2 linked regions of the Cricetulus griseus genome follow. The protein of the gene in region 1 purifies or fractionates together with the protein of each later gene. This does not show direct contact. Links are inferred from orthologs where the notes say so. Each region holds a gene or a part of one and is shown on either strand. Other genes may lie near its edges.

Region 1 (3,818 bases):
AGTCTACTGTTAGTCCCTAAGCCTAGCTGTGATTTCTTATTTTCTACAGGTGGTAGAATTATACTTGCATCCATTTTCTTTTTACTCTCCCAATAACAAGTAAATAGCACAGAACCAGATGCTAGGAAGCAAGTCCAACATGTAATTTATACCTAGTTCTGCTCAAATTTCTGAGGATGTGGATCACATGCATTATTCTGGTTTCCTTATTGTGTTCTGAAAATAAACTATACAATGAATGTTTAAAGGTTTTAATTAATTTTCATATATTTTTAAATTTTCATTTTATGTGCCTGTTTTGCCTGTATGTGTCTGTGCACCTTGTATGTGCCTGGTGCCCATGGAGGCCAGAAGAGGGTGTCAGATACCCCTGAACTAGAGTTATGGATGGTTGTAAGCCACTATATAAGTGCTGAGAACCAAACCCCAGTCCTCTGCAAGAGCATCAAGTGCTCTTAACTTATGAGCCATCTCTCCAGCTCTGAATTTGAGATTTTGTTTGTTTGTTTGTTTTTGTTTTTTGTTTTTTCAAGACAGGGTTTCTCTGTGGCTTTGGAGGCTGTCCTGGAACTAGCTCTTGTAGACCAGACTGGTCTCGAACTCACAGAGATCCACCTGCCTCTGCCTCCAGAGTGCTGGGATTAAAGATATGCGCCACCAACGCCCGGCCCAGCTCCAGATTTTAACTGATGATATTTTAACAAATATCAATGAAACTCTAAAATTGTTAAAAAGAAGTCAACTCCTCTAACATTTGGATACGCCAATATTTACAGTTAGACATTAGGCTTACTGTTTGAAATAGTTTTCCGGTCTCTTGCAATAGTGAGAAAACAAAGGGAAAAGATTCCGTGTCATATCAAACTGTAACTGGGCTGCTCCTCCTTCATTGAAATGGTTAGCCAGGATTATCTGAAACAAAGAGCAATCCATGTAACGGCTGCCTTCACCAGCACAGCCCCCAGCACCCACTGACTTACCTCCTGATAGATGTACATGTCCAGCTTCTCTACAAGCATTTGCCAGAAAACTCTGAATAAGGAGAAACAAAGCTGCTGCTCCAGCTGAAGCAGACGGTCCCGTAAGGTCAGTAAGAGTGGGCAAGCTGAGCTGGACAGGGACATCACTGCCTGCTCACACTGAGACGGCAGGGACAGCCATCTGGAAAAACAAACAACCTTCACCAAAATGACCTTATCACTCTGTATCCTTAAGGTTTCAACAAATCTTTTTTTCAACTTGTGCACTGAGCTAGTCAACCCTAGATCATATGCCATTTCTCTATGAGATCCACATTATAACTTGTATATTCTGAGTAAATTCTTCAAAATAGATTTTAGAAAGGTTTACATCAAAACCAAAGTTTGAACCTACCATACACAAACCCCAAGTTCAATGCCAAAACTAGGGGTGGGGGTTCTACAAAAGCTAAAATTTAGAGTGTACATAACACCTTTGACTCTAACTTATTTTAAGGGTGACTGATGCAAGACATACCTTTCTTTCTTATACAATTTTGCAGCGTCTTTCACTTCTCTAAAAACATGGTCTACTTGGCGAGTCAACATATCAAGCTTTAAACGCTCTAAGAGGTTTATCATGTCATCAAAGACAGAGCTCTCCATGGAGGCTAGTTGTCCCAGCTGCAACTTACTGAGGGCATTATTCTCTGCAAAGACCTCCAGTGCTGCCTGTTGCAGCTGCAGAAAGAACTGAAAGCAAATATCTGTTAGTACATTTATTAACACAGTGCTAGGCATCCTGAAATAGAATTTCGATATCATAGAATTCCCTCATTTAAGGTGTGCAGTTCAGCATCAGTGAGATGGCTTCATCAGTAAAGTAACTTGCTGCCAAGCCTGATGACCTGAGTTCAAGATGGAAAACAGTGAAAGGAAACAACTGTAGCCTCCACATGTGTGCCATGGTGAGCGAACACACACACACACACACACACACACACACACACACACACACACTACCTACACACCTTGGCACAGTGGCAACACCACACTCCAGAGGCTAACACCAGATTACCATGAGTTCAAAACCAGTGTGGGCAACATGAGTCCCTTTCTCAAAAGCAAAAAAGTATAAAAGCGTTCATCCTCTCCCAAAAATAAAACGTACAGTTCAGGACCAGTAAGATGGCTAGGCGGTTAAAGGCATGTGTCACCAAGTCTGATAACCTCAAGTTTGTTCCCTGGGTCCCACATGGTAGAATGACAGAACCAACCCCAGTAAGTTGGTCTCTGATCTCCAAGTGTGCTGTGAAACACACATGCATGCACAAAATAAATCCTTTTTATTACAATTTGATAGTTTCAGTAATTCAGAGTTGTGTATCCATCACAATTCTACAATACTGTCCTAGCTTCCTGCAACAAAACCCCTCATTCATTACCTGTATTTTCATTTTCTCCACACTCCCTTCAAGTCTAAGCAATCACTAATCTACTCTCTGTCTATGGTTTTGACAATTCTGGACATTTTAAGGAAATGGAACCAAATGAAGTATTATTCTTTATGACCAACTTCTTTCACTTAGTTCTATAGCATGTACTATGTACTTCATCTGTTTTTATTACCCCCAAATACTCCATCATATAAACATATTACATTTTATCCACTCCACTAGCTGCTGGATGTTTGGATTATTTCTATTTTGTATCTCTTATGCTTAATGTTTCTGAAAACAATGGTGTGTGCATTTTTTCTGTGAGAAATGGTGTTCCTGTTTGTCTTTGCCTGTCTGGAGGAGTGGAACTGCTGGATTTTTAATTCCATCTTGCTGTCTAAAGAACTGCCAGGTTGTCTTCCTCAGCAGCTGCAGTAGCTTACATCTTCACCTGCCATATACAGAGGCTTAAAGCTCTCTCCATGCACACTGGTAGCAGTTTTGTGTGGGTTTGTTGTCTGGGTTTTGTTTTGGCTTTGGTGCATGTAAGAGTTTTGTTTGTTTTCTTTTTTGTACTGTTTTAAGATCTTGTTATGTAGCCAGGCGGTGTTGGCCAATGCCTTTAATCCCAGCACTCGGGAGGCAGAGGCAGGCAGATTTCTGTGAGTTCGAGACCAGCCTGGTCTACAAGAGACTGAATCTAGGGCTTCATTTGTACTAAGCAAGAACTCTGCCACTGAGCTAAATCCTAACCTCAAACGTATCATTTTTTTAATTCCCCTATACATACTATATTTTTAAGTGGTATATCTGTCTATTTGGGGTTTTTTGCCTATTTTGTTTTTATGATATATAACAGCTTACGTTTATAATGTGCCTATTTGCTCATCATAGTTTTTACAGTGTAGTGGATATTTCACCATCGCATGGTTATCTAAGATCCTTATGAATGGCTTCTGTCATGAAATGTACTTTATGTACTTATACACAAGTATAAAGCCAAATGCATAGCTGTTATCTCAGTTTTAGAACATCTATGGATGTAGATAAACAGCACCCTGCCCAAGAAGTCAGCCCACAGGCCCTCTGAAATCACTTTAGTACTGGATCTAAAGTATCTAAGAGAAATTAACCAATGTTGAAACTATAAAGGCTTTTGTTGTTGTTTTGTGAGGGAGGATTTCATGTACCCCAGGCTAAACTTGAACTTCCTGTGCAGCTGAGGATAACCTAGAACTTCTGATTTTCCTGCCTCTACCTCCCATGTGCTGGTATCACAGACTTTGCCACATGCCCACTTTATGCTGTGTGGAATCAAACCCGGGGCTTATGCATAGGGGCAATGATTCTACAAACTGAGCCACAGCCTCAGTCCCTCAAGGCATATTTGAGTGGAATGCATACCAGAAAACCTGGTTAC
Region 2 (4,312 bases), on another chromosome or scaffold:
TGAAGGATAGTTTTGGAACAATGTCATTTACTACATGCAGCAAAACCAGGTGGTTCTAGCCCCACCCAGTGATGGGCAGATTCGTAGCATCCGTCCCTGAGGGCACAGCAGTGGATGGTTCTGCTACTCACACAGTTCCCTCTCACTCTCTTATGTTTTGAGACAGCAGTTGCATTGTAGTGAAAGTCAGGTGTGATATGATGTAAACTGTGACTCCAGAAACCATAAGGGGGGGTTACTTCGAAAAATGATAGCATGTAAAACACCCAGGACATGTTGGTGACAGACTCAAGCAGGGAATGAGTGCACAGGTTCCATTCTTTGTTAGTCCATTTACCCTCAGTGTAACAATGTTTACTACTCTCTCCAGGTAGTATGTGAAGAACCTGGTCAACTCTCAAACTCTAGGCCAGAGCTCCCACCCTGGCTACCTACCCTTAGGTAACAAAGGTTTGGAGCCTCACCTACCTGTATCCTGCATCGTAACTGTTGAAACTTTTCTTTCACCTTAGTGTTCAGTTCAGTGAGCTCACTTAAGGGTCCAGAACAATCTCGAATATCCTGTAAGACAAGGAAGAGATGAGGGGCCTTTCTCCAGTCAATGACATATACAGAAGGAAAGCTGATTTAGCCCACAACTAAGGTTGGCCTAGTTTCACCTCATCCTGCTCACTGCTGTTCTCCTTCGCACAAAAGCAAAAACATCATTTTCAGTTTCCTCATCCCCCTTAAGATTAACACTGAGCAGAATACATAAAAGTAGCCGGGATGTACAGTTCAGTGTAAAGCACTTGCATGTGCTTGAGGTCCTGGGTTTCATCACCAGCATCACACACACACACACACACACACACACACACACACACACACACACACACACACACGATATGTATTATTATATGTGTGTAGATAAATAAGTAGCTAGATAAACTCAACCTTGACTTTTACAAAGCACTATCCAGCCAATATGAAAGGCTTGAGCAGCTTACATGTTCATCAAGAATGGGCATCTAAAGCCAGGCGATGGTAGCGCAAGTTTTTAATCCCAGCACTTGGGAGGCAGAGGCAGGTGGATCTCTGTGAGTTCAAGGCCAGCCTTGGTCTACAAAGTGAAGACGATTACACAGAGAAATCCTGTCTGGGGAAAAAAAAAATGGGCATCTAAGAGATACTGTGACTTCATATCCTTCAACTCTAAAGTAACTTAGTCTGATTTTACAAACCATCTATCTGTTGCAAGTCATAATGTTTAAAGATACTGAGAATTTGCTTCTGGAAAGAAATTCAGAATCACTAGAGCCAAGATTTAGTGCAGGCTCTAGACTTGGGCTACTATATGCAAATCCTGTTTACAACAACTTGAAAATTTTGAAAACTTGCAATCTTGAAAAGCCTAAGTTCTCTGTACTTCCAATTCTTCATCTGACCTACCTCAAAGTCATATTTCTTTACATAAAATGCTTAGCAGAATGGCTGGAAGACCATAAGAATGCAATGTATGGGGTTATGCTTACTCAATAGTAACCACAAGAATCCAAAAACCATGGGTCACAAAAGAGACCTAGCAGATCGGAATATGAAAACGTAACTTTTCTTTTTTTAAATTTTGGATGTAGTCTGTTTTTTGTTTTTGAGACAGGGTCACTCTATGTACTCCAGGTTGGCCTCAGATGCATGATTTTCTTACCTCTTCTTTCCAAGTGCTAGCACCAACACACTAGCAGCTTAGTTTTATGTATGTATATGTATTTATTGATGCATTCTGAGGACTGAAAGCAGGGCCTTGAGCATGGCTAAATTTAACTCTAAACTGAGTTACATTTACCCCCAGCCCCTGGTAATTTCATTTGTATAAACCCAATTCTTGTTTATTTTTCTAGAATTGGGCCAGACATTTTGTTGTTTACACATCCCAGGAGTGAGTGAAGTTTGAGACATTTAAGGTTTGCATCAAGTTTTTTCACTTATTCTCTAGCTTATTCTTAAAATCATACCCCCTTGAGGCATAGGATAAACTACTGATGTGGTAAGGTGTGCATCTGGTTTATCAGAGAGTACTACTTCCTCATCCCTTTTTGACAGGGGCTCGAGAATATGTATCCCAGCAACCACCGCCCATTTATGCAGCACTGGGGATGCAACCCAGTGCAAGATAGGCATGCATTCATCAGCAGAGCCACGTGCTCCCCAACCCCCGCCCCTATCCTTTCTTCGTTTGCTGTCACAGATTGTATTATGAGTTTCTTCAGTTGTTTTTTGTTCGTTTGTTTTTCTAAATTGAGGAGCCATTTCCACATTCTCTACTCTTGCCTATGTTAACTTGCTTGCACTACTGTCTCCTACTTACACCTGCTTCCAGATAAGCGCCCCACTTCCCCGTCGGAAGCTCTAAAATGCTTTTCCTAGGCTGGCTTTTCCCCGTCCAGGTCCTAGTATTGGCACTGCCTGCCTTCTGACCCAGGACTTGCACTCCATTAGATGTCTTCATTCAAAAAAAATTACAGCCACGGTCCAGGTTACGTTAGCTTCGGCCAGTGACTCCCGTGTCAGGTGGCCCTGGGTACCCTCTTGGGCCCCTAACACAGGGAAGAGGGTGTGGGAGGTGATCCGGGAGGTGGCAGGGCGGAGGTACCGCCGAGACAGCGGGTGAGCAGACTAGCCCCGGACCTCTGCTGTATCGCCAGGGGACAGGAGAGGGGCGTCGGGATGCCCCAGCGGCGGGCGAACCAACAGTATGCACAAGAAAAGCGCTGAAGGTCAGCGATCCCAGGGACCCGACAGAACGGCGCCGGAGGAACCGGCCTGGAGCAGGGACGCCTGCCGGCTAAGTTGGGCCGTGCGCGAAGGTACCGGAGAACGCCAAGACGGCTAACGAGAGCACGGCGAGGGTCTAAGAATCTGTACCTGGATAAGCGCCTTCACCTCCAGGTCGAACTTGACAATCTCCTGGTTACAGATCCGGACGTGGACGTCCTGGGGAGCCGCCATGTTGGAGACGCGGCTACGGCGAGCAGCGGTGGCCAAACTTGAGCGTGTTTGCGTGACGCCGGCCTTCCTCCCGTATTTCTTTCAATGTGGCACCGGGAGACCTAGTGCGGAGCAAACCAAGTTGCTAGCCCAGACCTGGGATTTTCCTTGACACGTGGAACACGGACAGCCTCTCACGTCGGCTCCTACTAAACGGAAAAGTGAAAGTAATTATGAAGAACCACTAGGGTTGGAAGACACAGCTCATTTGGCGATGGGCTTGCCTGACACACCACAAGGCCCTGGGTTCTGACCCCAGCACTAGCAAAACAACAACAAAAATCCGCTCACTTTCCATCTTTCAGGCACCAGCTACTCTAATGACTTTTTGCACAGGAACAAAAAAGGATCAATTAGGATGCCACTAAAGTTGCATTTTTTCTTTAAAACTTAAAACACAATTTCTACAGTAAGTATGAATTATGGAGTAAGATACAAAAATCTGTAAAAGTGCATAACTCAATGCAGGTCACTGGAGCATCTCCATTAGTACAACCATGATCCTAGGGCTTTCTCAGACACAGAACCTACATTGCCTTCCTTACACATTTTTATGGCTCTGATGTTGCTCTTTGTGTAGAATTGGATTACAAGTATCTAGCAGGAGTGGTTCTGATTGTGCCATGTGAAATGAGGTAATACTTGAAATGCAGCAGTGTTGATAACGTGCTGTTGAACTCAATGACTACTAGTTGCTATTCACGTATTACTAAGCAACATCCTGGGAGTATGTATGTTCATGCATTTTCTATCCCCTGCTTCGATTGCATAGTCACACTTGATTAAATCGTTTGGCTATAGGAAGTGAGAAGAAGAGGAGGACAGAACAAATGGAGTAAGTGAAACGATATATGTATTTTATCTTGGCTTTTCAGAGGCAGGGTCTCATGTAGCCCATGATGGTTTCCAACTGTCTATGTAGACAAGAACAACCTTGAACTCTTGGTCTTCTTGCCTCAAACTCTGAAGTGCTGGAATTACAGATGTTCACCAATGAAGTTGTCAGACTTGCTTTCATAATTCTTTTCCTTTTTGGTGTGGTGGCACACACCTTTATCCCAGCACTCAGGAGATAGAGGCAGAGGCAGAGGCAGAGGCAGGCAGATCTCTGTGAGTTCCATGTCAGCCTGGTCTACATAGTGAGTTCCGGGCTAGTCGGGACTAGAGTCTGAGGTTCTGACTCAAAAAAAAAAAAAAAAAAAAAAAAAAAATAGAAAAAAAATTCTCTTCATAGTGGCCATATCAGTTTACAGTTGCACCAGCAAAATGATAGAAATACCCATTT

The links.
Region 2: the proteins of Rint1 (region 1) and Bnip1 purify together in Homo sapiens (co-immunoprecipitation; 3 studies listed by BioGRID and IntAct, counting the BioPlex papers as one, with this or other methods). This does not show direct contact. The link is inferred for Cricetulus griseus from reciprocal best matches to the Homo sapiens genes RINT1 and BNIP1.

Annotation. Positions count from the first base shown.
Region 1 is NW_023276806.1:170,795,449-170,799,266, forward strand, and holds part of Rint1 (RAD50-interacting protein 1), read right to left. Parts: intron 1,713-3,818; coding exon 1,498-1,712; intron 1,162-1,497; coding exon 981-1,161; intron 913-980; coding exon 794-912; intron 1-793. UniProt on the Homo sapiens protein: Involved in regulation of membrane traffic between the Golgi and the endoplasmic reticulum (ER); the function is proposed to depend on its association in the NRZ complex which is believed to play a role in SNARE assembly at the ER.
Region 2 is NC_048600.1:47,019,842-47,024,153, forward strand, and holds the start of Bnip1 (vesicle transport protein SEC20), read right to left. Parts: upstream 3,037-4,312; 5' UTR 2,989-3,036; coding exon 2,905-2,988; intron 562-2,904; coding exon 469-561; intron 1-468. UniProt on the Homo sapiens protein: As part of a SNARE complex may be involved in endoplasmic reticulum membranes fusion and be required for the maintenance of endoplasmic reticulum organization. Also plays a role in apoptosis.